Linked DNA regions of Drosophila melanogaster. The protein of the gene in region 1 interacts with the protein of each later gene in a pairwise test. Each region holds a gene or a part of one and is shown in the gene's direction. Other genes may lie near its edges. The genes, in order: sturkopf, Ldsdh1, Jheh1 and Gp93.

The links.
Region 2: the proteins of sturkopf (region 1) and Ldsdh1 interact in a protein complementation assay, tested with the Drosophila melanogaster proteins (one study listed by BioGRID).
Region 3: the proteins of sturkopf (region 1) and Jheh1 interact in a protein complementation assay, tested with the Drosophila melanogaster proteins (one study listed by BioGRID).
Region 4: the proteins of sturkopf (region 1) and Gp93 interact in a protein complementation assay, tested with the Drosophila melanogaster proteins (one study listed by BioGRID).

Annotation. Positions count from the first base shown.
Region 1 is NT_037436.4:1,309,781-1,316,749, reverse strand, and holds sturkopf (sturkopf), read left to right. Parts: upstream 1-3,372; 5' UTR 3,373-3,494; intron 3,495-3,544; exon of another isoform or gene 3,545-3,628; 5' UTR 3,629-3,837; coding exon 3,838-4,030; intron 4,031-4,089; coding exon 4,090-4,820; 3' UTR 4,821-5,031; downstream 5,032-6,969. Other genes in the region: Herc4 (HECT and RLD domain containing E3 ubiquitin ligase 4), read right to left, coding at 1-12, 75-365, 426-749, 810-1,071, 1,138-1,864, 2,041-2,277, 2,415-2,592, 2,660-2,740; Ctr9, read right to left, coding at 5,042-6,122, 6,436-6,893, 6,957-6,969. UniProt on the Drosophila melanogaster protein: Probable serine lipid hydrolase associated with lipid droplets. Appears to lack or have very low cholesterol esterase activity. Appears to lack triglyceride lipase activity.
Region 2 is NC_004354.4:8,076,049-8,084,636, reverse strand, and holds Ldsdh1 (lipid droplet subset dehydrogenase 1), read left to right. Parts: upstream 1-3,031; 5' UTR 3,032-3,187; coding exon 3,188-3,207; intron 3,208-4,714; coding exon 4,715-5,210; intron 5,211-5,284; coding exon 5,285-5,467; intron 5,468-5,738; coding exon 5,739-6,002; 3' UTR 6,003-6,287; downstream 6,288-8,588. Other genes in the region: CG2256 (uncharacterized protein), read left to right, coding at 20-379, 435-554; CG1571 (uncharacterized protein), read right to left, coding at 6,465-6,893, 6,957-8,483.
Region 3 is NT_033778.4:18,852,820-18,859,840, reverse strand, and holds Jheh1 (juvenile hormone epoxide hydrolase 1), read left to right. Parts: upstream 1-4,753; 5' UTR 4,754-4,787; coding exon 4,788-4,997; exon of another isoform or gene 4,998-5,053; coding exon 5,054-5,253; exon of another isoform or gene 5,254-5,307; coding exon 5,308-5,518; exon of another isoform or gene 5,519-5,576; coding exon 5,577-6,380; 3' UTR 6,381-6,407; downstream 6,408-7,021. Other genes in the region: Jheh2 (juvenile hormone epoxide hydrolase 2), read left to right, coding at 1,991-2,188, 2,438-2,637, 2,750-2,957, 3,150-3,935.
Region 4 is NT_033777.3:27,945,402-27,954,117, forward strand, and holds Gp93 (glycoprotein 93), read left to right. Parts: upstream 1-3,309; 5' UTR 3,310-3,460; coding exon 3,461-3,500; intron 3,501-3,582; coding exon 3,583-3,672; intron 3,673-3,769; coding exon 3,770-3,852; intron 3,853-3,940; coding exon 3,941-5,193; intron 5,194-5,526; coding exon 5,527-6,424; 3' UTR 6,425-6,750; downstream 6,751-8,716. Other genes in the region: mfrn (mitoferrin), read right to left, coding at 1,793-1,909; CG4951 (uncharacterized protein), read right to left, coding at 6,840-7,013, 7,074-7,281, 7,356-7,523, 7,592-7,684, 7,743-7,940, 8,097-8,545, 8,601-8,651.

The DNA of each region.
Region 1 (6,969 bases):
AAAGGAGAATGCCTGCTGGATAAAAAAGTAGTTATTAACTCATAAATCATTTCTGTTCGGCGTCATTAACCCACCATGGTAGCCGCATTGGCCATGGCGGAGTGCATCTGGAGCGCCTGATCCGCTTGGAGTAACGCTGTTTTAGCAGACTGGTCGAAAATGAATGAATAGTTGCAAATATTGAAATCTCTGGCAGTGTCGGCCATGATCCATTTAACGTACTCCTGCTGCACGTCTGCATAATCCGAAAGATCAGGCCAGTAAAAGATTTGATAGTTTAGGCGATCATGGCGCTCGTTGTTAATTTGGCAGAGCGTTTTCATCAGCTTTAGAATGATCTCGAGTTCAGTGTTATATGGCAGCAGCTAGATTATGAATAGAGAATTAATTGACACTGGTATGGCCCTATATTGAAATCTAAATACCTGTTGACGTCTTTCGGCGCTGGGACTAGCGGCAGCCAAGCCCATTTTGAAACTTATAATATGGATGACAACATGCAAGAAGTTCTGGACAAGATGCTCGAAGTATTCAGCCGGTGTTTGGGCCAACCACTTGTTCAGCACTTTCCGTGGGTTCTCTGCTAGCTTAAATATGGCATTGGCAAACGGAACCTGCAGTGACTTGTAGTGCTTGGAGTTGACGAACTCGTGGTAAAGTGGGAGCAGAAGATATAATCGCATGCTCTCCACATCTGCCGGTGAGCAAACCAGCGAACCAACTAGCTCCTTGGTTATATTGTCCCAGATCTGAAAACAATGAAATGATTAAAACAGATACCAATGATGCTTGTAATGGCGAAAACTTACCACCTGCCTAATGCTTTCATTTTCCACAGCGCGCAGATTGTCGAATGCTAGTTGGGCTGCTTTCAGATCCAGTCCATGGTTGCGAACCGAGCATCCAAAGTGTCGGTCGTGATCCAGCAGAAAGGAACCATTCCAACACGCCTGGCTTCTAAATATTAGTTCAATAGAGCTCAGTAGATCCATGTCGCTTTGAAGGCCCTGCTTGCATTGAGCACACTGCTTGGTGACTTCTGCTGTTAGGGTTAGGATCTGGGATTTGGGGCTGCAAAGTAGATATATGTTTATAGTTTTATATGTTTATACTAAAGTAACACGCTTCTATAGTTACTTGTAGTTTCTGAAATCCTCGGGCGGCACCTTGTCTACAAACAAAGTTGTGGTCACAATCGACTGATCGCCACCTGAGAAAATCTGTCGGATGACCAACGAGACCTGTGAATCATTGGATTGCAACAGGGCTGATCCGCTGGGCGACACCCAAGGACCGATGACCACCTGCGGCAGCATCAGGCTCTTGGTACTCCTCGTGCCCAGCTGCCCAGAGCTACCCAAGCCAAAGGCATAAACTCTGCCGCGCGATGGAACAAGCGCCAGAGTGTGCCGATTGCCACAGGCCACCTGAGTGATGGTGCTGCCCATTAGCTCCATTACCATTCGCGGTAGCATCTCATTCGAGCTAAAGCCATGACCCAACTGCCCATAGGCGCCAGCTCCACAGGTGAACACCCCTCCCTCGTTGGTCAGAAAAACGGAGAACTCATCGCCGCAGGCCACAAATCGCACGCCCAGGGTGCGCAGCGTTTTCAGCTGGGTGGGATACGAGCGGTTCGTTTCGTCATTCAGTCCCAGTTGCCCGCAGTTGTTTCTGCCCCATCCGAACACCGCACCGGACTTGGAGATGAGGAACGAGTGATTGCCTCCACAGGCAATTGCGGCCAGCGGAATTCCCAGCAGAGTGGTTAGTCGGAGGGGATAGTTGCAATGTGTCAAATCATTGGGGGAGTTCACGCCCAGCTGACCGTAGATGTTGGAACCCCATGAATACAGCTCGCCACCTAGAAACGTCAAGGATGATGTTAGTCGGAAGGTATCGTTGTTTAGCTTTAGATAAGAATTGTTTAGTAATGCCCTAAACTTGGGAAATACAATTATCTTATCTTGTTTCAAGTAGTTCTGATGTGTATCTGTGTATCTAGTGAATGGAATCCATTAAATTTCACTCCATACTTACAACTGGTCAGTGCCAAGCTGTGATTGTTGCCGCAGGCGATCTGCACCACCGTCTTTGTGACCAGTTGCCGCACAACCTTGGGCAGCTGCACGATCTCCTTATCGGTGGCATGGCCCAGCTGGCCGCAGTCGTTGTCGCCCCAGCTTAAGACCTGGCCCCAATCGGAGAGCGCCAATGAGTGGCGGCTGCCGCAGCAGATCTGGATGATCACGTAATCCTGCAGTTCGGGGATAAGCACTGCAAAAAGTCGGCCGGAAGATGATTGCGGGGTTTAGACTCGGTTCACAGCAGTGGCTCGCGTAGTTGGTGAGTATGGAGATGAGGTGGAGTTAGTGGAGAGTGGACAGACAAGACGATAAATGAAGATTACATACGAAATGGCGACATACGTGGCCTTTTGGTGGGCAGATCGTGGCCCAGCTGGGAGTAGTCGTTGCTCCCGCAAGCGTAGACTTTTCCAGTGGCGGTCAGAAAGAGAGTGTGTCGGTGTCCACAGGCGACCTGCTGTACAGCAGTGTCCGGTGTCCAGGGTATCTGACTAGGTGTGAGGATCTGTGAGGAAATCAATGGCATACAAAAGTAATATCAGTGGGCTTATATCCGAAAGTCATCTATCTACCTGCTCGTCCTCGATTCCGCCAAGTCCCAATTGACCATGTGACGTGCTTCCCCAGCAATAGAGCTCTTTGCCAGATGCCATTGCTCTGGATCCGCCCAATAGCTCCTTCGGTTGTTCTGGGTATAATAATTTACTTGTTGGTGCTACAAGAATTTTCGAGAATGTCCCCAATTGTTAGCTACATTCTTTTGTGTCCACTTGCTCCCGATTCCAATTGCTCGGTTCATGCCTCGTCAAGCTTTCGATGGGTGTGCCTTCAGAATCTAAGTCTAATCCTGAATCCTGTTACCTACAACGCTCTATAAATTTTAGGCCTTCTAGAAAAAAAATATAAAAACTCAAAAACCAGCAACAAAAAACCAATAAATAATGGTGGCGATGCCAACTGGTTGGGATAGGGCCACATTGCCCACGTTGGCAGCCCTGACAATGGGCTTAAGCTAGGGCTGCATCGCTTGCGGACTTTTAAGATCCGCTTTGAAAAACCTTAAGATCGGATAATTCTCTAGAACTTATGCTGAACACGAATATCAAAATGTTTTCTCAATTTTTTCCGAAAAAAGAAACAATTTGCGATTTTACATATAAGTTTTGGTTAATAAAAAATGTATACGTAGGTAACTAATGTTAGGGAGTACTTTCGAATATTTAATGATGATAGGTAAAAGTTAATATGAAATTTATAAAAGCTTCTAGTACTGTAAAGAGATATCAATAGGTTGACAAATAATAATTTACGCCATAGTATTTTTTTTAAAGTTAATGCATTTTGGTTTTTTTCTTTTTTAAACAAAATTATCTACACTTTTTCTCTGTCTGAGCAATCGTTATCATGGTAAGTATCCGCTAATATAGAACATCTGATTTTGGCATAGCTTGCCGCCCTGGTTTCTGTATCAGCCGTTTTTAAGCCGCTGAACTTGTGACCTTTGTCCATTCTTGCTGGAAACAATTGGCCGAAACACATAGCAGTGTTTATCAGAGCTATCAACCCTGGGGATAAACCGCGCCAATCCTCAAGATTTGAAACTCGTGAAAGGCTGCAGCCGAGGTGGTTGGACAAAGGAAAACCGGTTGCCACGGGGATTAGACAACTCATCGCGTGTGAAAAGAGTGGGATCAACACAGGTGCCGATTGATTTTCAGCGCAGTTTGCCACGCCAACAGCAGCGGAAAATATGCAGGAGGCCTACGTCAACATCAACTCCATTCCCACCCACATATTCACATGGGGCAGGTGGATTGAGGAGACCATAACCGAGAAGGAGATCGTCATCTGCATAACTGGCAATCCCGGTTTGCCAGGTTTCTACACAGAGTTCGCAGGCACTTTGCAAAAGGAGTTGGGCGATCTTCCAGTTTGGGTGATAGGTGAGTGTGCTGGCGTTTCCACATTGAGTCGGTAATAGCACACTTGATGTTCCCTCCAGGGCACGCTGGCCATGATGATCCGCCAGAGGCCAGTATTCGGGAGGTTCCTCAACTCAGCGGCAACGAGGAGCTCTTCAATTTGGACGGACAAATCCGGCATAAAATCGCCTTCATCGAGAAATACGTGCCAAGTGATGTCAAGATCCACTTGATTGGGCACTCCATCGGAGCGTGGATGATCCTGCAGCTGCTGGAAAACGAGCGGATACGGAGTCGCATCCAAAAGTGCTATATGCTGTTCCCCACCGTCGAGCGGATGATGGAGTCGCCCAATGGATGGGTGTTCACCAAGGTGGCCATGCCCCTGTACTCCGTGTTTGGCTACATTTTCTTCAGCTTCTTCAACTTTCTGCCCGTGTGGTTGCGCCTGATGCTGATACAGATCTACTTCTTGATTTTCTCCATTCCACGACAGTTTCTGGGCACCGCCCTAAAGTACTCCAAACCATCGGTAGCGGAGAAGGTGGTCTTCCTGGCCGACGATGAGATGGCCAGGGTTCGCGGGATTCAAAGGGAGATTGTAGAGCAGAACCTGGACCTCCTCAAGTTTTACTACGGCACTACCGACGGATGGGTACCAATCTCCTACTATGACCAGCTCAAAAAAGACTACCCCAAGGTGGACGCCCAGCTGGACACCAAGAAGATCGACCACGCTTTCGTCCTGCGCCACTCGCAGCCTATGGCTGTAATCGTAAGAGACATGATCCAGCAGCACAGACGTGTTTGAAGTCGATTGTTGACCTGGCCCAGACAATCAGCCCTGTCCATTACCTAATCCATCCATGCCAATAGACTTGGGAATCCGGATTACGGTTGAACAGCAAACCAATAGCAATTACTCCACTGCCTTTGTGTGGCAATTAGTTCGTTTTTATTAGTATCTTTTTGCAGCTCTCGAAGACAACTCTAAATATAGTCAAAAGTGATTTAACACGGTTGAGAGGTGCGTTATTTTTCCGGGGACCCTGATCTGCTACGGGATTCGGACTTGGATCGGCTGCCAGAGCGAGAGCGGGATCTTGAACCCGACGGCGAGCGGGATCTCGAGCGGGAACCGGACTTTGAGCGCGATCTCGAACGGGATCCCGACTTGGAGCGAGACCTCGATCGAGATCCGGACTTGGATCGAGATCTTGAACGGGAACTCGACTTGGAGCGAGCACGGGACCCAGATCTATCCGATTCCCCGCCAGATTCGATGCGATTCCTGGCGCGCTTCCGCTTAGTTGCTTCATCACTGTCACTCCCAGATCCAGATCCACTTCTGCTCCTGCTGCGCTTGCGGCTAGCCTCGCGATCACTGCCGCTTCTAGAGGCACTGCCACTTCGGCTACCACTGCGATTTCGACTCCTGCTTCTACTTCTGCTCTTGCTGCGCTTGCCGTCAGACTCGGATTCGCTGGTGGAGATCGTCTCCTTGGAAAGCACCTTGAGGCGCTGCTTGGCAGAAAGCTTCTCCTTGGACTCTTTAACCGGCTTCGGCTTCTTGCCCTTCTTCTTTCCCGACTTGCCACTGGCACCTGGCTCTTCCTCGCTGTCGCTCTCGTACTTCTCCGTTTTGCGCTTGCGACCGCCACCCTTTTTGCGTTCCCCCTTGCCCTTCTTCTTCGAGGGACGTTCTCCCTCACGACGAGCTCCATCGTTATCGCTTTCGGTACCGGAGATGTAGTCATCTTTACGACCTCGCCCACCACCCTTCTTGCGTTCCTTTTCAGGTGGAGCGTCCGCAATGATGAGCATGTTCTTGGTCTTCTCCACGTACTCCTGCCGCTTGGCTAACAACTGGTCCCTGGAGGTCTTTGCCTCCTCCTCGCGCCGCTTGCGCTGCTCCGCCACCTTAATTTTGAAGGCCTCGCGCTCCTCTTCCTGCTTCCGGCGCAACGAGCGCTCCTCCTCGTCAATGCGACGTGCACGGCCCACATGGTACTGGGCCTGAGAGAGAAGATCTTGGCAGGTGCTTGCCTCAATGCCAGCCACCTCAATGTTGAAGCGATTCTTATCCCCGTGCACGGACAGATATTGGAAGTATCTATAAGAGATTGGGGTGGGATATTGTGAGTGAGATTTTAAGCACGAAACAAAACATATTCATAGAAATAGTTATTGACCATGATCAAGGAAATCATCAGCTAATCTAATCCAATCTTCGGTTTAGCAGTTCATGATGATTGCTTTGCATTAATATCTAATCTGATCTGATAAGCTAAAATGCCATTAATGGTTACTCATTTCTGCTGTACTTCTAAATATAATCAAATTCACGTTATCACTTGGTTGGTACTCTAATAACCACTTGAAAATATTTGATAGGCGCAGTTTAAGAGAGCAAGGATACCACTTACTTTTGAGCCAGCTCCAGTTCATGGACAGCTTGCAGCACAATTTCCAGAGTAGATTTCTCATCCTTGAGTATGGCCATGGCCAAACGTGAGAGGACCACTGCTATGTTGAAGAGTAGAACTGTGTCCTGGGGAGCAACTCGACGGGCCTTAAGTAGCACTGCCTTGGCATCGACCAGCTTGTTGGCTCGTAGATACGCTCTTGCCAGATATTGCATTACCTCGACGTTGTTGTGCTTGTAGAACTTCTTCATGCAGTTCTCATACATCTGAATAGCGCTGATGTACTGCTTCTGTTCGACATAAACGTGCGCAATGTTCAGCCACACGTCGCAAAAGTCGGCGGTGGCTTCGCGCACCTGGGCGAAGATATCGCGCGCCTCGATCACGCATCCCTTATGTGCCAGCACGGCACCGATTCCATTGGTGGCCCAAATATTTCGGGGATCATTGCGAAGAACCTGGAAAGCGGATGCATTTCGTTACAAATTGAGCTATAATTGGTCTATTTTAATCTGTCCCACTTGTTTGAATATG
Region 2 (8,588 bases), on another chromosome or scaffold:
TCAGCGCCACTCTTCGTAGGGCATCGATCGCATTGTGTTCCGCGAGCTGTTGCACAGCACTTTCGACATCGTCACCGAGGAGATCCTGATGGAGCGCATCTTCTGCAGCTGGGACAAGGCCCACGAGGGTTTGCCCCTTCGCCTCGAGGGCTGGCTCATTGGACTTTCAACATTCCTGCGCGGCACGCCGGCGGAACGGGCGGCTTTTTGCTTCCGGGTTTACGACCTGAACACGGATGGCTTCATCACCAAGGATGAAATGTTTACGCTGCTGCGAAATTGCCTGATAAAACAACCGCAGGACGAAGATCCCGACGAGGGCGTCAAGGATCTGGTGGAGATTGTGCTCAAGAAGTTCGACCTGGACAAGGACGGCAAGGTGAATGGATTGGTGGTGGTATAATTCCTTACAGATATAATGATTTGGTTTTCAGGTCTCCCTGGAGGATTTTATGGGCACGGTCACCGCGGAACCATTGCTAATCGAGGCATTTGGCCAGTGTCTGCCCACAGATAGCGCTGTGGTTTCCTTCTTCTCCACGCTGCAGGTGTGATCAGCATCCAAATATCTTTGAATTTGTTATATTAATGTAATTAATAAAATTTTAATCAATAATTTATGCATAATATACATATATTTCGGTCTTTAATGGTGCAGTACATTAGTACATTTATCATCAGACGTTTAGTTATGAATGCCAATACTTTGCACGATCGATAGCGTGGAACTTGTTTATGCATCCCACCTGAACTGGTGATCCCTACAAATAGCCAGACTTAAAGCGGGTCCGATTCGCGAATGCTGTTAAGACTAATTGCGTTGGCTAGTTGACTTAGTGGTGACCCCGACCCACGACAGGGGTGCAATTTGCAGTCGCAAATCTGTAATTGGCACGTATCCACATTGGGATCATTCCCCAGATGAAGGTGCGAATTGAGATGGATGCCGCGGATGAGTCGCCAAGGCGTCATATTTATGCAAGCCTCGGGTGAAACAATAAGCCAGTCAGTTAGACAGTCAGCCAGTCAGTCAATCAGTCAGTTAGTCAGTTAGTCAGTTAGTCAGCTAGTCAGCTAGTCAACCGGTCTGGTTATGCGAGCTAATTTATTCGATTAGCCAGTCGCATCCACAGCAGAACAACTATAGCCGCATAGATACAGATACACAAGCCCGCCCGACTAGCGAATTGTCACGAATCTTGTTCATCTATTGAATGCATTCATGCAACGCAACGCCCAAAGCCTGTTTCTATTCGAAATTGTTTTGTTTTATTGGGTTGCACTACGCCACCCAGCCACCGATATCTAGATAGATGGCTTCCATTCCATCTGGCATATGGAAGGTGGACCGGATCGTTTCGAATCGGATCGGATAGACGGCGAACCGGAATGAGTGAGTGCAGCATGTCAGCTATAAGGTGTCCGTCCAAGTTCGAGTAGCCGGAAAGGAAGATGCTGCCCTTGATGGAGAGGCGAGCAGATAATGTTAATCAACTTGACTTGGCATTACATCTCAATATTAATATACAAAATTTTTATATTTTACTAAGCTTTCAGTATTCAAACTAGAACGATTTAACACAAGTAATAAATGCTAATGCACTTACTTTGGAATTGCAAACAAAGTATCACCCATGACGTTGACCATAAATAAGTAACAGATATAGCAGATATAGTTAAGATCAGATTAATCGCCCTTTATAGATCTGGTTGCAATTTAAAAGTTTGAGAAACTATTGTGAATATATTAGTAGCACAAGTCTCTAATTAGTCATTAGTGTTGTCAGCTGTAAAATATATATATGTGCCATATAAAAAAAAACCAGTCGTTTATGAATAATTAAATTCTTAGCAATATACTTAATTATATAGAAGCGCCTGTTTGCTATTGCGGATGAACGTTGAACGTTAGTTATATCGCCGATGAAGTGATCACTCATATAAATGTATTACCAATAACCCAAGGAATCCCATTCTTATCTTCATGGGTTGGGCTCTACTCGCCCGACTCTCTATATGGTGAGAGTCCCATACTTTGACCCAATGTTCCAATCGAAAAATAATGCATCATGCTGAGCCGGCAAATGGCAAGGAGCACTATCTAATCGCAATCTGATTCCTATGTCTCAGGGGTCAAGTAGTGCACAGCTAAGACCCTACCCTCTAACCATCATACCCTACCCTGATAAAAAAAAAAAAAAACTAAATCTTTGAACCAAATAATACCTCTCATTGGCGTACATTGTACATTGGTTCTGGTTTCCTGAGCTTTTTTTGTTTTTTTTTTGCCGTAGGCCAAAGATCATCCTGCCAGTGCTTATCTTCGCATATGATTTGGTCAAAAAAAAAATAAGTGAATGAAACCGATCTGTTTAGGCGAAGCTTTTGTGTGTTAATATCGGCGCCGTAGATCTACCTTGGCATTAGCACCCCCTTTGGCACTTTTTTCACCTTTGGCTTTCGCACACCGCATCTCTGTATCTCATCTCTCTGAGTATCGAAGTATCTGTGTATCTAAGTATCTGGGTATCTGAACGATCTGGGTCGTAAACTCCGCCTGGTTGTGTGTATTTTTATATATGACACATATATATCTTATTTATGGCCGACTAGGGTATTATTACCGGACCCCGGATTAACAAACAGGCATTTGCTATCTAACAAAAATAAATACATACATAGAAATATGCATTTCATACCGGCTGAACCGTTGCACATCCGCGGATATCGTTCGTTCCATATAGATCGGATCGGATCGGATCGCATCGCATTGGATTGTAATGGTATAAATCGGAATGACAGTGCCATTGAACATATGTCGTAGTTGTGTTTATAGAACGCTCTGCCTGCGTCGCTGCCGCGGTCGACGTCAACGCTGCCGGCAGAGTGTATCTACAAGTAGTGCCGGTGTGCCAGTGTACCAGTACCATATAGTATTTGAAAACCCAGTGGTGTGTGTGTGTGTGTGTGAGTGTGTGTGTGTGAGTAGATTTGAAATAATAACTTATAAGACCGGCGTGGCGGTACGGTGCGTAGTGTTTACTTTGCTCAATATTCAGTCCGAATTCGTTAACAGCCGCTAACGGTTTGCTCCGGCTGCTCCGATCCCTTCCTATATACGTATATATATATATAGATATATATATACATTAACGATCCTCGCAGGATTTAGCCAAATACACGAAACATGTCGAAAGTGACGCAAAGGTGGGTAATCACCGAAACAGAAGTGCTACCCACCAGTTGGTAACAAATCAAGAAAAGAAAAAGAAAAAAAAAAAACCTAAGAGAACTATCTTATCAACGGAACATTTGGAACAAAGTGTAGTGCAATATTTTAATCGCCAGCGATAAGATCACCTTATCGACTTGGGTCTACAACCAGTGGCCCGGAGGAGCAGGGTTCAATGAGCACCAAATACTAACTAATACTATTCAGCTCGATGGAATAATTGGCCCAGAGATCGCATTATAGATGACCAAACCATCCATATGAATGATGATGGATGATCGCTTCAACCTTTGACCAACCATTGTGCAATCTGTATCCGCTCACTTAAGCGCCATTCACCTTCGTTCGACTTAGTTTAACTATATCAAATTGCCCTGACCAAAGATCGCCTTACACTTATTGACCGGGCAAAGGATCATTTGAAATTTTTTTTTTTCGGTGAAATAGTTTTCACACGCTTGAGAGGACATAAGTGCAGAGGATCGCAGTTCAAATACTATGCTACTTTCCAAAATGGAAAATATTTTCCAATATTGTGGGCTGTTCGGAACGATTTTGGTCCGATTCCGAACGTCGTACTATAAATAGCATTCCAGAAGTAGCATTCCGATAAGAGCAGTCTCCATGGCAGTGAAATGCGCAAGTGAAACGGAGCGATAGAAAGTGCAAGGGGGGCGAGAGCGAGAGAGAGAGGGACATGGTAATGATGGTCAAGTCGATGGCACGATCTGCTAGAATATATAGCAAGTATATATATATACATATATGCATATACTATCGCACTACGTAATGCATGGGCGAAAACACATTGAAACCACACCAAAAAAAAAAAAAAAAAAACCAAAAAGCTGGAAACAGTTCGGCATTATCAAGATCTCACGCAGCTGCAGCCAGCGAAATATAATTACAGAACATGAGCTGGGAGAAAACACGATGACCCACGTTGGAACCACCCAAACCCGCCCATTGCCGCCCCCCTTTTTTTTTTTTTGGCTATTTCCGCATTTCCCACGAAAAACCGAAACACATTACATGACATCATTGATAAGTAAATAACAGAAATGTGTCATAAAAAATGGAATGATACAAAGAAAATTTTTCATTTAAGCGACTTGTTTTCTCCCAGTGTAGCCGCAAAAAGTGAGGATGGCAAAGGTCATGCGATTGTCGCTGGCTGTAAGATAAGGCATATACACGCACATACTTGCCATCCAAATGACTGTGGGTCATGCAAGAGTTGGAGGGTTCCGGATTAATCCCATTTGAACTCCACTCCGCTTGATAATTATGATGATGCCCAAGATCAAGAGTCAATGTAGAGAAAGCACGCACTTGCCACAAAAAACCATAGCATTATGTGGTTTACTTTATTATTAAAAAGCAAATATATATATATTTAATGTAGTTTACAGAAACATGCTCACAATTAAGCCTTAAATTTACCCTAATATTTGGTAATAATATCGTACATATTTCTTTCAGTGCTGACAACGGCAGCAACGCCAACAGCAATGACATCTACAACATTGTCCTGCTGGTGGTTGACATCGTGATGCTGATCGTCAAATTCTGGCTCGCCATTGCGGAAGCTATCGTTGGACTTTTCCGCGCGCCGCCGCTCGATGATGTCAATGGCAAGGTGGTCCTGATCACCGGCACTGGCCACGGCATGGGCAAGGAGATGGCACTGCAGTACGCCAAGCTGGGCGCCACCATTCTCTGCTGGGATGTCAATGAGCAGACCAATAACCAGACCGTCAAGGAGATCAAGAACAATGGTGGCAAGGCCTTTGGCTACGTTTGCAATGTGACCAAGCGCGAGGAACTGATCGAACTGGCCCAGAAGGTGCGCAAGGAGCATGGATTCATTCATGTGGTGGTCAACAATGCCGGCATCATGCCCTGCCATCCACTGCTGGAGCATACCGAGAACGAGATTCGTCTAATGTACGAGATCAATGTGCTCTCTCACTTCTGGGTAAGTTGATGTGATAGTGTTAATATCGATGTTATCTCAATAGTAACATTGACGACCATTCACTTCATTCACAGATCATCCAGGCGTTCCTGCCCGATATGATTGAGCGCAACGAGGGCAGCATTGTGGCCCTATCCTCATGCGCCGGACTCTTTGGACTGATCAATCTGGTGCCCTATTGCGGCACCAAGTTCGCCGTTCGTGGCTACATGGCCGCCCTCGTTGAGGAGCTGCGTCAGAAGAACCCACAGAACAACGTAAGTACCAACTCACTCACACTTTTATTAGCATTTAGTTGCTCATTATAATCCAGTTGAGTGTCCAATTAAAAGGTTATTAGGTGGTTAAGAGTAGCTAATTAAAAATAATATATTATAGCTCGTACCAAGCAGCCCGTTTAATTCTCACCGTTAGGCGAGCATCTTGGTTTCACACTACGATTTTATTATCTCATATGGATGAGACCTTTTCCCATAATAACTCCATGAATTCGAAGTTTAATATAACCCACCTACTTTCCGCTTGCAGGTCAAGCTGACTACCATATATCCGTATATGATCGATACGGGTCTGTGCAAGAATCCCCGCTACCGATTCCCCAATCTGTTCAAGCTGATACCCGCCGATGTGGCCGCCGGATCGATCATCGAGGCTCAGCGCCAGGGATTGGAGGAGGCGGCGATTCCACGACATTTCGTGGCCGCTGAGAAGATCGGTCGCCTGATTCCACGCAAGGCGATGCGATTGGTCAACGATTTCTTCGACACGGGTGTGGATACCGATAAGTCCTAGAGCTCAGCTCCAAGTGGCCAAATTGAACACCCCATTATCCATCTAAAAGTGGATGATTTAGCTTTAATCTTCTCCCCCCCCATTTGTTCACTTTATTTTGCTTATTTTTTTTTTCCCAGTGTACTATTAACTCCATTTAATTGCTGTGTAGAGAAGTGCAACTAATGCTATATGAAAAGTGAATTTAACGAACTAAATTTAGCTGTTAGAAAGGTTGTTACTTAATTAAAAAGTCGCACGTAGTCGGGCTAATTGTGTTGGTCGTAATAAAGGTCTCCAAAGAGTACTCCATAATGTGATTAAATGTGGTTTGACCCGCTAGTCATGGTCTTAATGGTGCTCATCGTATGGGGTTTCATCTGTTTCCCGCAGCTTTGGCAAACAGTTTGTATTTAAATGATAACTTTATTTCAATTTGCACATCATATCAACATATCCAATAGTTCATATTCATATTTTTTTTTACTGGTGCTTCATGGATCCTTGCGAAGCTCTTGGCTCTCCCGAAGTCCTCTTGTCATAGTTTCCCGACGTCTGAACCTTTCGCTCGGGCTTGGTGTATACGACGGGCTCACCCTGAAGCTTTTCGTCAGCCGGATTCCATTCCTCAAAGACCGTACGCTCCATGATCACCTGCCGCTTGGAACGCTTCCTCTCCACACTGAGTATGATGTCCTGGAATTCGGTGATGGCCGTGCGAAATTCTTCATCGCCCTCGATCATCATCACAAACTGATCGGGATTGTCGGGATCCAGCTCGAGAGTGGGCGCCAGTTGTTGCTGCTTCCGGACACGTTCCTCCTCGGCCATTTGAAGCGTTTTCCGCTTTAGCCTAACTTCATCATAGCGAGCCTCCAGTAGTTTACACCGCACGATCTCCCGCTCGAACATCTTCCAGAAGATATAGTGTTAATTAGAGAGAGGGGATTACATTACAGAATGTTCAATTCTTACGGCGGCCATGAGTGCCTTCTCCTTGCCAGTTGCCTGTCGCATGGACTCATCCAGTGTCATGATGTGAGTGTCGCCGTTTTTCAGGCCAATGGCCAGCAGATCGCCCTCCGGCCGGAAGACCAAATCCGCAATGGCTACCTTAAAGTCCACGGAACGAATGGGCTTACGGTGATGAAGCAACAGATCCCAAAAGTCCACCACGCCGTTTATATCGCCAGTGACGAAAAGGGAGCAGCGACCTGTGCTCCAAGCGCCGCATAAAATCTGTGCATTCTTCCGGAAATACATGGTAGACGGACTGTCCTTGACCTCCTCCGACCAAATCCTTGCCCGCCAATCGCCCGTGACCAGAAAGTTCTTGACGAAAAAGGGATTTCGATTGATACTGCGCACGGGTCCGACAAAAAGTTGATAGTGAGCCAGAAGGGTTTCCATCGGAGTCATACCCTTGCGATTGCCGACAAAAACGTGACCCATATCGCTGCCGATGATGAAGCGCACCGGGATGGTGTATTCGAACTCCAACACCGTCACTCCATGCGAATCCATGCGCGATTGACGCTCCTGCGGTTCCGGTTCGAGGAGCAGCTCCTGCATGGGCATCTTCAGATCCCTGGTGTCCCAATACTTAATGGAGCCATCCAGGGAGCCCGAATAGAATTCCGTATTGGACTTGGAATGAACCCAGCAGAGGGCCGAAGTGGTCTCCCTGTGGGACACCTCCAGGGGGCAATTCCTTATGGGTAGTCCGCCCTTAAAGGTGCCCCACAGACATACCTGCCCCAGCCCCGTGCCACCGACCATGTTGTTCTCATCCTTGGGACAAATCTTGGCCAACGACACCTGCTGCTTGCTGTCGTAGGTGATCCTCGGCTTGAGTGGATTCTTCACATCCCACACATAGAAGCCATTTGTCCCGCCAAATGGTTCATCCGTGACCGGCCGCAGTCGCTCTCCCTTTGCAAAGTGATTGGTATACTGGGTCATAAACTGTCGGCTATTGTTGGGCATCCACTCAATGGACCTCAATTGGCGTGCTGGCAGCCAGAGATCATGGAACACATTGGCCACCCGGGCGCGAAACCTCATCTTGATGTCATGTCCCAACTCCGGCGGCAGATCCGCAAAGAAGTTCTGGTAGATATTGAGGGTATTGTTCTGCTCCGCCACCGACATCGTGGTGCGAATCATAGACAGGACCTGCTCACCCCAGCTATCTTCGCGTTCCACTTTCTTGCGATGCCGCTGCGTCTGCTCCTCGTCATTGAAGTTAACCTCCTTGGGCCAACCGCCCTCGTAGTGATACATTCCGTGCTGGTCGAGAGTCACGTTCTCCGTCTCCATGACGGTCAGCGCCATTTGGCGGCTCAGTTGGGTGGACTTCTCGGACGGATTGGCCATGATGTACTTTAGACGCTGGCGGCCACTGGGATGTACGCTGACCATCAGTTCATTGCGATCCTGGAACCGGCACTGCCGCCCAAAGCGACGCCTCTCGCGGGAATAGATGAACTGATTCTGGTACATGTCGTCAAAAGCACAACTACTTTTTCAAGGGATTTAAGCCAATTCTTCAGGGAATCCAAAGCTAAAGCTGCAGAGAAGGAGTTCTATGTGATTGGATTGCAGCGT
Region 3 (7,021 bases), on another chromosome or scaffold:
AGAGGCAAATGAAGAGATCTTTATCAGTTGTCAGAAGTATTTGCACACGGTTTCGTCGCATCACAATTATTTTCACAACGCAATTTCTTCTTCAGTGATTGGTTTAGAGTGACAAGTGCCGGTTTGTTTGCTTAAATACATTTAAATTATTGAATAAAAATTAGATTTAATCATTTTCCTATTACAGTTATTAAATAAAATGCCCAAAACAAAAGAGTTAACAGTTGAGGCCCGGGCTGGTATTGTTGCTAGGTTTAAAGCCGGTACACCTGCGGCCAAAATAGCTGAAATATATCAAATTTCGCGTAGAACTGTCTACTACTTAATAAAAAAGCTTGATACAGTTGGCACATTAAAAAATAAAAAAAGATCAGGCCGAAAACCTGTGCTGGACCAAAGGCAATGCAGGCAAATACTTGGAGTTGTGGCGAAGAATCCTAGTGCCAGTCCGGTAAAAATTGCCTTAGAATCAAAAAATACAATTGGCAAACAAGTTAGTAGTTCTACAATTCGTCGCAGGCTAAAAGAAGCTGATTTTAAGACATACGTTGTTCGCAAAACGATTGAGATCACACCAACCAACAAAACAAAACGTCTTCGATTTGCGTTGGAATATGTTAAGAAGCCTCTTGACTTTTGGTTTAATATTTTATGGACTGATGAGTCTGCATTTCAGTACCAGGGGTCATACAGCAAGCATTTTATGCATTTGAAAAATAATCAAAAGCATTTGGCAGCCCAGCCAACCAATAGATTTGGTGGGGGCACAGTCATGTTTTGGGGATGTCTTTCCTATTATGGATTCGGAGACTTGGTACCGATAGAAGGAACTTTAAATCAGAACGGATACCTTCTTATCTTAAACAACCATGCTTTTACGTCTGGAAATAGACTTTTTCCAACTACTGAATGGATTCTTCAGCAGGACAATGCTCCATGCCATAAGGGTAGGATACCAACAAAATTTTTAAACGACCTTAATCTGGCGGTTCTTCCGTGGCCCCCCCAAAGCCCAGACCTTAATATCATTGAAAACGTTTGGGCTTTTATTAAAAACTAACGAACTATTGATAAAAATAGAAAACGAGAGGGAGCCATCATTGTAATAGCGGAGATTTGGTCCAAATTGACATTAGAATTTGCACAAACTTTGGTAAGGTCAATACCAAAAAGACTTCAAGCAGTTATTGATGCCAAAGGTGGTGTTACAAAATATTAGTATTGTATTTATATAAAATAAAAAAAATTCTTATGTTGAAATTAGATGTTAAGCTGAAATTTACTAAATTAAGTTGAGTGAAAATACTTTTGAAGCGCAATAAACATGTGAAAATACTATTGACAACTTGCATGCATATTTTCTTTTGCTTTAAGCTTTGTACTATGAACCGTTATCTTTCGTATTTCTTTTCGACTACCTTCTGCATAGATCAAGCTAAGCGATAAGAACTATTTCAGGCAAATCGGACAACAACAAGAAGAAATATAACAAAAAGAAGTTGAAGTTTGCAAATATTGTGCGTTGTGAAAATACTTTTGACCACCTCTGTATATATTAAGGGCTCCGCGTGTTGGTAATTCGAGTTCTTAATCATTATTAATTAATTAAATCAGTATTTAGTTAAATGTCATATAACAATTTCATTTTAAGCATGAATCGTTTCTTGTTCACTTTACTTTCGTGGATTGATAAATGGAACTGCTTGATCATCTTCCTAAACTAAATGTAAATTTTAAGTACAAAAATTGCTCTCACTCAATTTGTTGCCAAAAGCTCGCCGAAATTCTCAAATTATTTGTCCAATCATGCTCGCATTGCATTGCCGTGTGGAATACGATCCACTTGAAATCCACAAGCCAACAAAAAGCTTTTGTTTGCCGGTAGCTTGCGCTTTACAAATCATTTGTGCTCGACGATCGTAAGCGAGGAGTTGCGCAGTTCGCCGATCTGTGTATATAGAATATATAAAGAATATAGCATAAACACACAATGGCGAACATCTGGCCACGAATCTTGGTCGGAGCTCTGACCATCCTGGTGGCCGTTGGCTATAAGAACTATCGCGATCTCTCGGCGCCCGGCAAGAGACCCGATCTGGACAACAACGCCTACTGGGGTCCAACATTGAAGGAACCTTATCGGGAGAACAAGGCCATCCTACCCTTCGACATCAGCGTAAAGCCAGAGGTAAATAAATATACATACACAAATGCATATATACAAATGCAAAATATCAAATCAGTATGATATGCAATCAAAGCTATGAATGTATAGTATATGTAAATATTTCGAATCATGCTGGTATGCAAGTATCATTAATTATACAGAATTTATGGTAATTTGTACAAATTCATACTATTTAAAGTTATATTTGATTTAATAATTTAATTTAAGTTATATAATTTTTTTAATATCCTTCATCACTTCTTATCAAAGGTTATTGAGGATCTAATCGGTCAGCTGAGTCGTCCTTTGAAAGCGCAGGCGCCACTGGAGGGTGTGGGTTTCCAATACGGATTCAATGCCAACGAACTGGCCAAGGTGGTGAAATACTGGCGCGATACATATCTGCCCAAATGGAGCGAACGGGAGGAGTACCTCAAGAAGCTGGATCACTACCAAACGGAAATTCAGGGGTGAGTGCGACAGAACTTATGGAAAACCGAAGTGTTCCACGCTTAATTAGTCGCCTGCTTTTGCAAATTAACATGAAAAGTTAACCCCAAATGTTTTTCCATTTTTTTGCAGTTTAAAAATTCATTTTATTCATGCCAAGCCAAGCCAGGTGAAAGGCCAAAAGCCCAAGAAGGTGCTGCCTCTGCTTCTGATGCACGGATGGCCGGGAACCGTTCGCGAATTCTACGACTTCATCCCTCTCCTGACCACGCCCAGTGACAAGAGCGACTACGTCTTCGAGGTTATTGCACCCAGTCTGCCCGGCTACGGATGGTCTCAGGTTAGATTTGTTTCCAAAGGGACAACAATAAATTGCTAACCAAGTAATGCTATATTCTCCAAAAGCCGTAAGCCATAGAACTTATCTCTTACTATGGCATTAATATATAGCACTTAGGTAGACAAGTTATTACACAACCTTCTCCAAATTACAAATTGAAAAATGACTAATTTTATATTTTTCCAACTCCAGGGCTCTTCAAAAACTGGATTCGGTGTGGCGCAAGTGGCGGTGGTGATGCGCAACCTGATGCTCCGAGTGGGATTCGATAAGTTTCTGGTGCAGGGTGGCGATTGGGGTTCCATAATTGGATCCAATGTAGCCTCACTTTTTCCGGAAAACGTGCTGGGCTATCATTCTAATATGTGCGGAAATAACAGCCCTATGGGTCAGTTGAAGATGGTGCTGGCCTCCTTTTTCCCCAGCTGGTTTGTGGACAGCGAGTATGCGGACTTCTACAAGGGACTCGGTCACTTGTTTAGCACCATAATGGAGGAGATGGGCTATGCCCACATTCAGGCCTCCAAGCCAGACACCATCGGCAATGCTTTGATCGACAATCCAACTGGTCTGGCTAGCTATATTCTGGAGAAGTTCTCCACATGGACGAATACGGCATTTAGATCGCTTCCTGACGGTGGTCTGACCAAGAGATTTACCTACGATCAGCTTCTGGACAATGTGATGATCTATTATGTGACCAACTCCATTACCACCTCCATGCGTCTGTATTCCGAATCAATGGTTGCCTCGCAGTTTGCACTGGCCGTGGACTCCGTGCCCATCAAGGCCAAGGCTGGCTGCACCCGTTTCGCCCATGAGATCACACATTTCTCCGACTCGGTTTTGGCCAACAAGTTCCCCAATCTGGTGCACAGTACCCACCACCGGGATGGAGGTCACTTTCCCGCTTTTGAGCTGCCCCAGCAGCTGTACGACGACTTTGTGTCTTTTGTCCAGAAAGCCAATTTCTCATAAAACAAAATTGTTTATCATTAGTTATAGAAGTCCATTGTACATTTTCATCGTGATTCTTGAAAGAAACGGTTATGTTTGTTGCAAAAATTAAATCAAATCGACTTGGTGATTGTATTTGCCTTATCTGCTTTGAAAACCGAAAGTTGAAGAGTTTTTTGTTTGGAATACACGAGTGGCGAGCAAAAGGGCAGTGTGTGGTGTTTGCTTTCATAAGTATATGTACATATATGATATATCTAAGCTCGGAACGATGTTACGTAACTTATTCCCATGGGCTATAGTCGACATTGGTGTACCCTTTATAAGAAATCATGTAATATGTTGAATTATTACTTAACTAAATGACAGTAGAGTGATATTAAACCAAATGAACATCAAATTTTACTTGGCAACAAAGATCTCACACATGTTCAGTCTACCCCAGTGTAGTTCGAAAATAAGGGGTATTTTTTAGCTAACCTGGTAGCCCAGCTGCGTCGCAAAATATACAAAAACAATTCGCGGGTCTCATTCTTTATACATATAGTACATACATACATACATACCCCTCCGGTCTTTACCCGTAAAAGCTTCAAACCAAAAACCGGCATGTAAGCTTTGTTGAGTAAATAAACAAACAAGCCGATTCATTCGAGTCATCCCCGATGTGGAAAGCCGCTACTCCGTCTCAGTGGAGTCGAGTCCAAAGTAAACCCGCGATAAGCCCCAACTGATCGGCGTAGGGTGGTCACTCAAAGTCGCTTATCATCATGAGCGTCGAAAACGAGAGCTGCGCCCACGATGATATGGTAGAATCAGTGGAATCGTAGCTGCTATCCGAGACAGTCTGAGTGGAACCGCTGATAGGAACAGATGGGTGTCACTGTTAAAATTCTGGTCTTGATACTGGCCATTGCCGGTGGGCTGGTCTATAGGAATGTGACCCAACTATGGGCGGACTTGCCCGCACCAAAGTTGGATCCCCAGGAGTGGTGGGGCGATGAGGCGCAGCCCAAGGATTACGAGGCCTATTTGAAGAACAATTCGGAGGTGATAGGCAATAGGCTTAGTTATCCGGATAAGGTAAGTGGGGGTCTATCCATTATTATGTACTATATACTAACTCATACCATGTGCAGACCATTGCTGATTTGAAAGAGCGTCTCAATCGCACCCTGCGCCTTACGCCTCCGCTCGAGGGCGTGGCTTTTGAGTACGGATTCAATACGAATTACCTTAAGGAGGTCGTGGAGTACTGGCGCGATGACTACCTGCCGCGTTGGCGCGAACGCGAGGTGTTCCTTTGGCAGTTCAATCACTTCACCACCGATATTCAGGGGTAAGATAAGGTGCCCACTTATCATATGCACAGATAGTAACGATGGGGTTTTAGGCTACGCACACACTTCCTCCACCTGATGGTTTATGATGACAACAAAGTGGGTAAGAAACACTATCCGGTGTTGCTGCTCCACGGATGGCCGGGATCGGTGCGGGAGTTTTACGATTTCATACATTTGCTGCATCAGACCAATCTGGACAATAATAACAAGTACATCTTTAACGTCGTGGTTCCGAGTTTACCAGGTTATGGCTGGTCACAGGTGGGTTTTGTCCAATCTACGTAGTGTATTATAGGCTTATCTGTCTCTTATCCTGCAGGGCACCTCCAGAAAAGGACTGGGTCCCGCTCAAGTGGCGGTGATGATGAGGAATCTTATGCTGCGTTTGGGATACAACAAATTCTTTATCCAGGGTGGAGACTGGGGCAGCATTATTGGCAGCAACATTGCCACCTTGTATCCGGAAAACGTGCTGGGCTACCACTCGAACATGTGCAACAATTTGAGTCCGAAGTCGCTGGCTAAGGGTTTAGTGGCCGAATTTTGGCCCAGTTTGTTTGTGCCCTCTGGCTTTGAAGATTTCTTCTTTCCCAAGTCTAACGAGATGAGATACCTAATGGAGGAGAGTGGCTACTTCCACATCCAGGCCACCAAACCGGACACCATCGGAGCCGCCCTCACCGATAACCCAGTGGGTCTGGCCGCCTACATTCTGGAGAAGTTCTCCACGTGGACAAATCCCAGCTACCGATCTCTGCCAGATGGAGGACTCACTAAGCGCTACAAAATGGATGCCCTGCTGGACAACCTGATGATCTACTACCTGACCAATTCGATTACCACCTCCCAGCGTCTCTATGCCGAGCAGTATGCCCAGGCACAGCGGGACCTGCACCTGGATCGGGTTCCCACCCGAGTGCCAACTGGATGTGCCCGTTTCAAGAGCGACATTATGCAGTTCCTGGATGTCCAGTTGAAGGATAAGTACACGAACCTAGTGCACAGCACTTACCACAAAAAGGGCGGGCACTTTGCCGCTCTAGAGGTTCCAAAGGTTCTATACAAGGATTTTATAGACTTTGTCGAAACGGTGGAACGTAAGTTTAAAATTAAGACTCTGTAGATCTTCCAATAAAAGCTTAATTGTTACAAAAAAAAATTAGTTTTTATTTGGTATCGATAACCTAAATGGTTTTGATCCTGGAAATGACTAGGTACCCGGAAAAATAGTAGTAGATGTTACCGTTTTCCACTTTCAACTTTTCACTTTTCTATTTAACCTTAATATTCAATGTTGTATTAGGAATATTTAATTTGTTATATACACTTCAATGAATAAGTCCAAAACAATTCATTCATATTTTTCATAATAATAATAATTTGGTTTAGTTTCTATGGAACGCATAGATTAAATTTTTAGAAGAATAATCGGGACATAGTTTAATTTTTATCATTATCGGTATTTTTTAAATGTTGTACCTCAGCAAACACAAAATACTGAAAAGGGTACCTTGTTTTAGGGCCAGGTACACGCGTGAAGTTACCTCCCATCCCTGATCCTGGAACATTACAATCGGGAATCGGAGTTAAAGTGGCTGCGCAGATGGTCAAGAATATATAGGAATATTAAACAATTACAAATTTGGAATACAGGATTTGTGTGAGATACAGGCTGGTCCAGAAGCTCATAAAACGAACAATTTATACCACGATCTAGGAATTTGCCATCAAGTTTCGAAGACAAAGAAACTTCAACTTAGAGAA
Region 4 (8,716 bases), on another chromosome or scaffold:
CACAATGGCAGTACTTGTTATTTTATTTACTCATTGTTTGTCCTAGATTAAACTGGTTAAAGTGGTGCGTCAGGGCTACTAACTTTGGCTATGATAATACATAAAAAAAAGGTAGATTAAGTCGAGGGTAGTTAGCCGTATAGACTCGTTGCTCGTTGCTTTTCTTCTGCAAGTCATGGTTACTCATGATATGCAATACAGAGCCCAATACAATTGTGGGGGATATCCAATATTCATTTCGCTTACTGACATTGCCAAGACCTTAGAACGTGCTCTCATCATGATTTGTGATTCAGAACTGATGGGGTGATGATTTCCGAAACTATTTCAATCTGGCTGTCGGCGAGAATCTAATTGTGCAATGTGGCAGCCGAAAAGGGAAATAATTGTTCAGAATATGCATAGATCTCATCAAAAGAAAGTTTTTCGAATTTTGTTCGTCCCATAATTGTCGAGATAAGGGCTATATAATCTGTAAACAACAGCAGGGACTAATAATTGATATCAGTGGAATATACAAATATATAATTGCATGCTTCCCGGCAAAACTTTCGCTGATTTACGAGCCAGTCACTCGGAGCCTAGAGATTTGCATTTGCCTACGTATTTAATGATTGCATATGCACATACATATATATATATATGTATGTATATATATATATATCTGTTCATACTTAATTGTACTTATTTAAAGGCGTGCCTGTCGAGCACACAAGTCGGAATTATATCTGGGAGCAGAGAGCAGCATCCATATTGTAAATTACGAAGGCCTTGGCTTTGCGATGCAGATAAGATTCACTGGAACACGGCCCAACTGCATTTATCTATCTGCCGGCTGGCTGCTGCTATCAATAACAAGTCAACAATGCCATCCAAGGTGAAAAGTAGCCCCTCGAGTGGGGGAAATCTAATTAAAGGGTTCTCTGCGACGAACTGATAGAAGTTTCCATTGCATAAAAGCCCGATAGAGCTGCGTTCGAAGAGATCGCGGAGCCAACATGATTCATTCATCCCGATGGTGTATTGTGTGTGTGCCGTGATAAGAGAACCCGGTGATAGGTAATTATTGCAAGCAAGCGGCCTCAATTGGTGTCCAATTTGGTTTTCCGCTCTCTGGCTTTTAAAACTTCACGAATTTTAGCTCGTCAAACGGACTGTGTCCAGAATCTAGATTATAACGATGACGCCGGGAATACCGACCAGGCTTTAGACTGGCAACCAACTGCCTGCCGGCTGTCACTTGCGCGATTGACACATGTGGCCACGAAAATCAATAAGTGCTCGAGCCACCAGCCAGCTGAGTGAAATACAACGAAACAAGAATCGGTCAATAATAGGTATTGAATGCGTGGTGTACATATGTACATATTTACATATAACCATATACATATGTGTATATACTTGCGGCGAACGTCATTACGAGGTGGGCATTTGCATACGCTTAAGTGGCGGACTTGTGCACTTGGTTGGCCCTACCGAATTTTCAGAAGAACGATGAGAACGCTCCGCCGATAAGAGCTAGTCCAATTACTATGGCTAATCTTATCGCGGAAGCATAAACCAATGGAACGTGCTACGATAAGCGTTCAGAGCGGCTATATGTGGCTATACCACCCAGAGCTCTTAATGAGAAACGCAACTCTTGGTTGCACTCGAGACGTGGGCAATTACATCACGATTATGCCAAAGCAGCGGCGGCACACACAAAATTCCGATTGATAGTGAGGTTAGGTCGTGTTATGTTCATGCCGCTGCTCCTCCGATTACCAGGCGGCCATGCAGTCTCTCTCACCTTGACGGAGTCCAGCGGATACATGACCACATGCTCCAGCACGCCCGCAATTGCGCCCGCCGTCATATTGACACCCACACTGGTGGTGGGCAGCGATTCGTAGTCGTCGATGTTCATGGTGGATCCGAACGGTTGCCGTCGCTTTCGATTGTTGAGGCTGCTGGTGGGGCTGCACTATCGACTGTGTTGTGTGCTAATGCTGTGGTTGCGCCCTTGCAGTCGCTGCTCCTCTTACGACAACCTGCTAATCCGGACCAGTTCTGCCAAGTCGCTGTTGCAGTTGCTGCTGCAGAGCCGCTTTCTCCGCTGGGATCGGGTCGCTCCGCCTGTCGAGGATCGGCGTTGGTTAGCGGGCAACTCTTGGCCGGCGTATGTCGGGCACTTTTGGTGCAATTTTGTTGTATAACACGGATAACACGACGATTCACGGACGCACGGGCGGGTGTATTTCGGGGGGTGGTGCTGCTGGCGGAGGCGGCGGCGGTGGCGGTGGTGGTGCAGAGTGTACGCGTGAGGTGGTCTTATGCGAAACTGCTAATTGACACTGCTGTTGCACGACTAGCATACAGACGACATAGAGACGATTCCCCGATTCAACGATTCACGCGAGGAAGCAATTTCTGGTTTAGTTGCTCGCGGCTAAGCTGCTGCTGCTGGAGTGGCGGCTGCGGATCGGTTGTTTTATGAATATATAAGAGTCGGTTTGTGGCCGAAGCGGAATTTTGGCTGGGTCGGTGTTTGGCAACTGACGCAAATGTTGTATGATTACAGCGAATCATTAAATTTCGCCCAATAAACAAGCCTCGTGCCCAGAGTGACCGCAGCGGGAACGTCGCAAAATACCAAAATGGCTCGGGTGAAAATACCAGCACAAGTCCACCCACATGTGGGTGCGGAACCTTAACGCCATGGCAAATAAAAATACCAACATTAAAATATTTAACTTAACATTGTAAAATAAACCGAACGGTACAAAATCATATGTTATATATTCTAAAACGAAATGGATTTCCTTGATCTCTGTCAGGAATTTATATTTTATTTCAATTCATATTTTTATCATTACTTTGCTATATCAATAAGTTCTCAGTTATCTATTTTGGCAGCTTAAAAATTGTATATACACGAAGTTGTTGTGCAACCGACCGAAGAATTTATTATTTTAAAGCTTAGTTGTTGTATACATGAAAAGATACTAATTTGTTTCAAATATAAATCATATATCTACCGGCCTAAGTGTTCCCTTTTGTAAACTATTGATATAAGAATGTAAATTATCAAATTAAATATATTTAACAGTAGAGTTTTGACACTACATCCTCTTGTAAACTAAATCCCAAATAGATTCTATGAATGTATGGGCTTTCAAATAAGCAAACATTAAATTTATTTAAATTACACTATTTTCGTGCTCTGTGCTGTATATATATCCTATTTCCAGTGCAGCCCCTGGTATTTCCTTCCAATGCGCTTAGAATGTTCCAGCGCCGGAATACGGTCACTCTGCGAGGCATTTAAAGGCCTTCCAGCCGCTTGTCGGCGTCAGTAAAAAAAAATCAAAGCAGGCGACGCAAGTGCGGACTAATTTATTGCATCTGTTATTCGTGACGTGGCCTTTCGCCGGACGAACCGATAGCTCGAGCTCCGTAAATCAAGCTACCAAAGATCATGAAGTACTTTTTGCTGGTGGGCCTGCTGCTCCTAGCAGGTAAGTGTGCACATTTGCCACGCCGCATTGAACCGGTGTTTTAACCTAATTATTAATTGGCGTCTGATTCGCGTCTGATTAGGCATCAATCAAATAGCCGCCGATGACGAGGCCGCCACAACGGAGACCATCGACCTTGATCTGGGCTCCTTCAAGGAGGGCTCCCGCACCGGTACGTAGACACGCCCCCCTCTCGCGACGACGAGTTTTGTTTGGTACACGTCAGCGTTGCGATAACCGCCCCCTTTTTCTAATTCCCAATCCCCCAGATGCCGAGACCCTGAAGCGCGAGGAGGAGGCCATCCAGCTGGACGGCCTGAACGTGGCGCAGCTGAAGGAAATTCGCGAGAAGGTGGGTTCATTGCCAGGTCATTTGGAAGGTACACGTATGACCGGGATTTCCTTTCCCTTTTTTCTTTGTCTTTTGTCTGTGCGTGCAGGCGAAGAAGTTTACTTTCCAAACGGAGGTCAACCGCATGATGAAGCTGATTATCAACTCGCTTTACCGCAACAAGGAGATCTTCCTGCGTGAATTGATATCCAACGCCTCCGATGCCATCGACAAGATCCGCCTATTGGCTCTGTCCAACAGCAAGGAGCTGGAAACGAATCCGGAGCTGCACATCCGCATTAAGGCCGACAAGGAGAACAAGGCGTTGCACATCATGGACTCGGGTATCGGCATGACTCACCAGGATCTGATCAATAACCTGGGTACAATTGCCAAGTCCGGCACTGCCGATTTTCTGGCCAAGATGCAGGATCCCAGCAAGTCGGAGGGACTCGATATGAACGACATGATTGGACAGTTCGGTGTGGGCTTTTACTCCGCTTTCTTGGTCGCCGATCGTGTAGTGGTGACCACCAAGCACAACGACGACAAACAGTACATCTGGGAGTCGGATGCCAACAGCTTCAGCATCACCGAGGATCCCCGTGGCGATACTCTGAAGCGAGGATCCGTGATCTCGCTGTATCTGAAGGAAGAAGCCCAGGACTTCCTGGAGGAGGACACCGTGCGCGAGCTCATCCGCAAGTACTCGCAGTTCATCAACTTCCCCATCCGCATGTGGTCCAGCAAGACCGTCGAGGAGGAGGTGCCCGTGGAGGAGGAGGCCAAGCCCGAGAAGAGCGAGGATGACGTGGAGGATGAGGACGCCAAGGTCGAGGAGGCCGAAGATGAGAAGCCCAAGACCAAAAAGGTTTCGAAGACCACCTGGGACTGGACCCTGATCAACGACAGCAAGCCCATCTGGACGCGCAAGCCCGCCGAAGTGACCGAGGATGAGTACACTAGCTTCTACAAGAGCCTGACCAAGGACTCCAGCGAGCCCCTGACCCAGACGCACTTCATCGCCGAGGGCGAGGTGACCTTCAAGAGTTTGCTCTACGTGCCCAAGGTGCAGCCATCGGAGTCCTTCAACCGCTACGGCACCAAGTCCGACAACATTAAGCTGTACGTGCGCCGTGTTTTCATCACCGACGAGTTCAACGACATGATGCCCAACTACCTGAGCTTCATTCGTGGCGTCGTCGACTCCGACGATCTGCCCCTGAACGTTTCCCGCGAAACTCTGCAGCAGCACAAGCTCATCAAGGTGATCAAGAAGAAGCTGGTCCGCAAGGTTCTCGATATGCTGAAGAAGATCGACAAGGAGGCGTATGAGAAGTTCTGGAAGGAGTTCTCCACCAAGTAAGTGTCGCTTTCTAGGAATTAAGAAACGTTCTTTGCCTGTTCAAATAATTAGTTATTTATGATAAGCATTTCCGCAGAATCCATTATAATATGGAGAATAGAATGACGTGTATTATTTTTTGCCAACAAATTAATATATTTAGTTTGTTGCTTTAAAGAATTCCGCGCTGATAAGATAAGGAAATCCACGTAGTATTATAATATTGGCACTGGTGACGTGTAGAGTTTATACTTAAATATTTTATTTTAGTTAAATAAGCATTTCCATTAGCTATAACCTCGAATTCTTGGATTTTCGTTGCTTATCAAGACTTAATTGACTCATTTCAGCATCAAATTGGGCGTGATGGAGGATCCCAGCAACCGATCGCGTCTCGCCAAGCTGCTCCGCTTCCAGACCTCCAACGGCAAGGGCGTCACCTCGCTGGCGGAGTACAAGGAGCGCATGAAGGCCAAGCAGGAGCACATCTACTACATCGCTGGTGCCAACCGCGCTGAGGTCGAGAAGTCGCCGTTCGTCGAGCGTCTGCTGAGCAAGGGATACGAGGTGCTGTATCTGGTGGAGGCCGTCGACGAGTACTGCATCTCCGCGCTGCCCGAGTTCGATGGCAAGAAGTTCCAGAACGTGGCCAAGGAGGGATTCCAGCTGAACGAGTCCGAGAAGAGCAAGAAGAACTTCGAGTCGCTAAAGAGCACCTTCGAGCCGCTGGTCAAGTGGCTGAACGATGTGGCACTCAAGGATCAGATCTCCAAGGCCCAGGTTTCCGAGCGTCTGAGCAACTCGCCATGCGCCCTCGTGGCCGGCGTCTTCGGCTGGACCGGCAACATGGAGCGTCTGGCCATGTCCAACGCCCACCAGAAGTCCGACGATCCTCAGCGCACCTACTACCTCAACCAGAAGAAAACGCTCGAGATCAATCCCAGGCATCCGCTGATGCGCGAGCTGCTGCGCCGCGTGGAGGCCGACGAGGCCGATGACACCGCCAAGGACATGGCTGTGATGATGTTCCGCACCGCCACCCTGCGGTCTGGATACATGCTCCAGGAGACTTCGCAGTTCGCCGACAGTATTGAGCAGATGATGCGCCAGACCTTGGGTGTCTCCCAAGACGAGCAGGTGGAGTTCGACGAGGAGGAGGAGGATGATGCCGAGGAGACCGCCACCGGCAGCCAGGAGAGCGGCAACGCCGATGATGAGGAGGAGGAGCAGCAGCACGACGAGCTGTAAACTACTTCACCTCACCCACTGTCCAAATAGATTGTACATAAGAGTGTGAAGTTCAGACTGAGTTTTAAACCGCCACCGGGTGGCCGGGCGGGCACTCCATCAACATTACACGCTAGATTCTAAGTAAAATAATTTCGTAGTCCTTCGCCCACGCCGTCATCACCGCCAGTCGCCCAGAGAGCACTCCACCATTTCAGCCAGCACACTTGGTTGCTCAAGCGTTTTCTTTTTTCGAAAGCAAGTGAATTATGTATTTATACAATGTAATATGCTTAGTACACAACAGATTCCAATCAAAACAAATAAAGACAAATGAATTTAAAACTAAAACAACTGCCTATTTAATATGGCGCGCAATGTAAAATTTCCGCAATCGGATACCAAAAAATAGTTAAAAAGTGAATTGATTGCTCGATCAGTCAAGATCGGAACTCAGCGGCTCATCGTTCAGGGCCCTCAAGTAGGTGTTGTACTTCATCTGGTCGCGGATCTGCTGCACGGCCTCCGATTGGGACAGCGTGTATGTGTCCATAAAGAGGCGCACTATCCACAGCGGGAGCAGTCCGTTCACCAGCAGCGACGTGTGGTTCTGGTAATCGGGACATGTTAGGATGGATATGTGTGTCACTCCAGGACGCCCCAAACTTACGCTTCGACTGCTGTAGACCTCGCCCAGTTTCTTGAGCATCTGCTGGTGAATGCTCTTGCTCAGTATGTCGATGACGTCCATGTGGGCAATGTTCATGTAGTGACTGGTGCGCGGCTTGAACTCGCGCTCCTTGAACAGCTTATCGAAGTCGCTGCGATAGTTTTCGAACGTATTCAGCACCTCGTCCTCGCCCATTTTTTCCAAGAGTCTGAGCCAATCAAAAGAACGCAAGTTGAAGGCACATTCGTGTTCGCTTTATTTGCATCTAGTCGAGTCACTTACAAAATCTTAACCTCGCGCGGCTTGGGCGTGTCCAGCATGCTGTCCAGCCGCTGCAATGCATTGAACCGCCCTCCGTCCATGTGTTCCACCTTGAAATCTTTGGCCGGCACTGGCGATACTCGTTTCACTTTGGGCTTGGGTCCTCTGCTCTTGCCGCTCCTGGTCTCGCTGAAAATGGCAGCCAGGGAAATGATGAATGAAACTGATCGCTATAGCACCATATTTCTATGGCTTACCCAACTACGAAGTTTTTGAATCGACTCGGGCGTATGGGCGATCGGCCGGAGCGGCGTGCAGGCTTGGCCTCAACGGAGCTGGATCTGGAATTCCTGCGAATAGATCAATAGGCTCTTAGTTCTCTCACATCCTAGCCTTCGCCTAACTCACTGCTGTGATGGACTGTGCGATCGCTTAATGCGGTTGCTCTGCTGCGAGGAACTGGGGCTGCTGGAAGAAGCCTTATCCTTTTCGCCTCCTTGGGAAATGGACCTGCGCTCGCTCTTGATCTTGGTTGGTTGGCTGGCCGTGGTGGAGCTCTTGTCATCCTCGTTGTCGGCGTCAATGTGCTTGGGCTTCGATTGTGTGCTGGAGGGGAAACATGCAGTGGAGAAAACATTAAAATGCATTCAACTTCGGTACATAAAATGTGAAAGGTGCAAAGGTGGTTCATAGCTATTGGGATCAAAAACCACACAATCCAAGCCTATGGAGTATTTGGGACTAATTAATAGGGTTTCCTACCCCGCTTTTGGCTTGGATCCTGAGTTTGCTACGCGGATCTTGCGGGATGTGGGTCTGGTGCCATTTGTTTCTGCTTCCGTGGCAAGCTCGCGCTTGGCGGGAATGACGTCCACAATGGTGGTGTCCTCTTGTGTTATGTACTGCAGCTGTAGGTCCAGGCAGAGATCCTTGGAGCTGGACTCCGTACCGGCCAGAAGAGCGACCGTTGCAGGATGCGACTTATTGGTCGCCTGGACGCGCACGATGATGTGATCGATAATGAGCTCGGTGTCCAGTTGGTAGGCATCCTGCCACTGCTTCAGGTTCTCGAACAGGCGCCATAGACCACACTCAATCCGGCTCCACCGATCCGCGGTCATCCAATGGAAATCATTCTTGGATTCCCGCTCAAAATGGGTCACAGGTGTCGGCAGAACTTTGACGCTGCAGATGACGCGGTGCTTCTTGTACTGAAATGGGAGCTGCTTTAGGACATGGCGGATCACACATCTCAGTGGCTTTTACCTGGTATAATTGCGAAATTAGTTGGCAATCACCGATGGCGGAAAATGACATTTTTATAAAATTGCTATGCGTCCTGATGTGACCGTAGCCGCTGACAGGCACAGCAACAACAATTC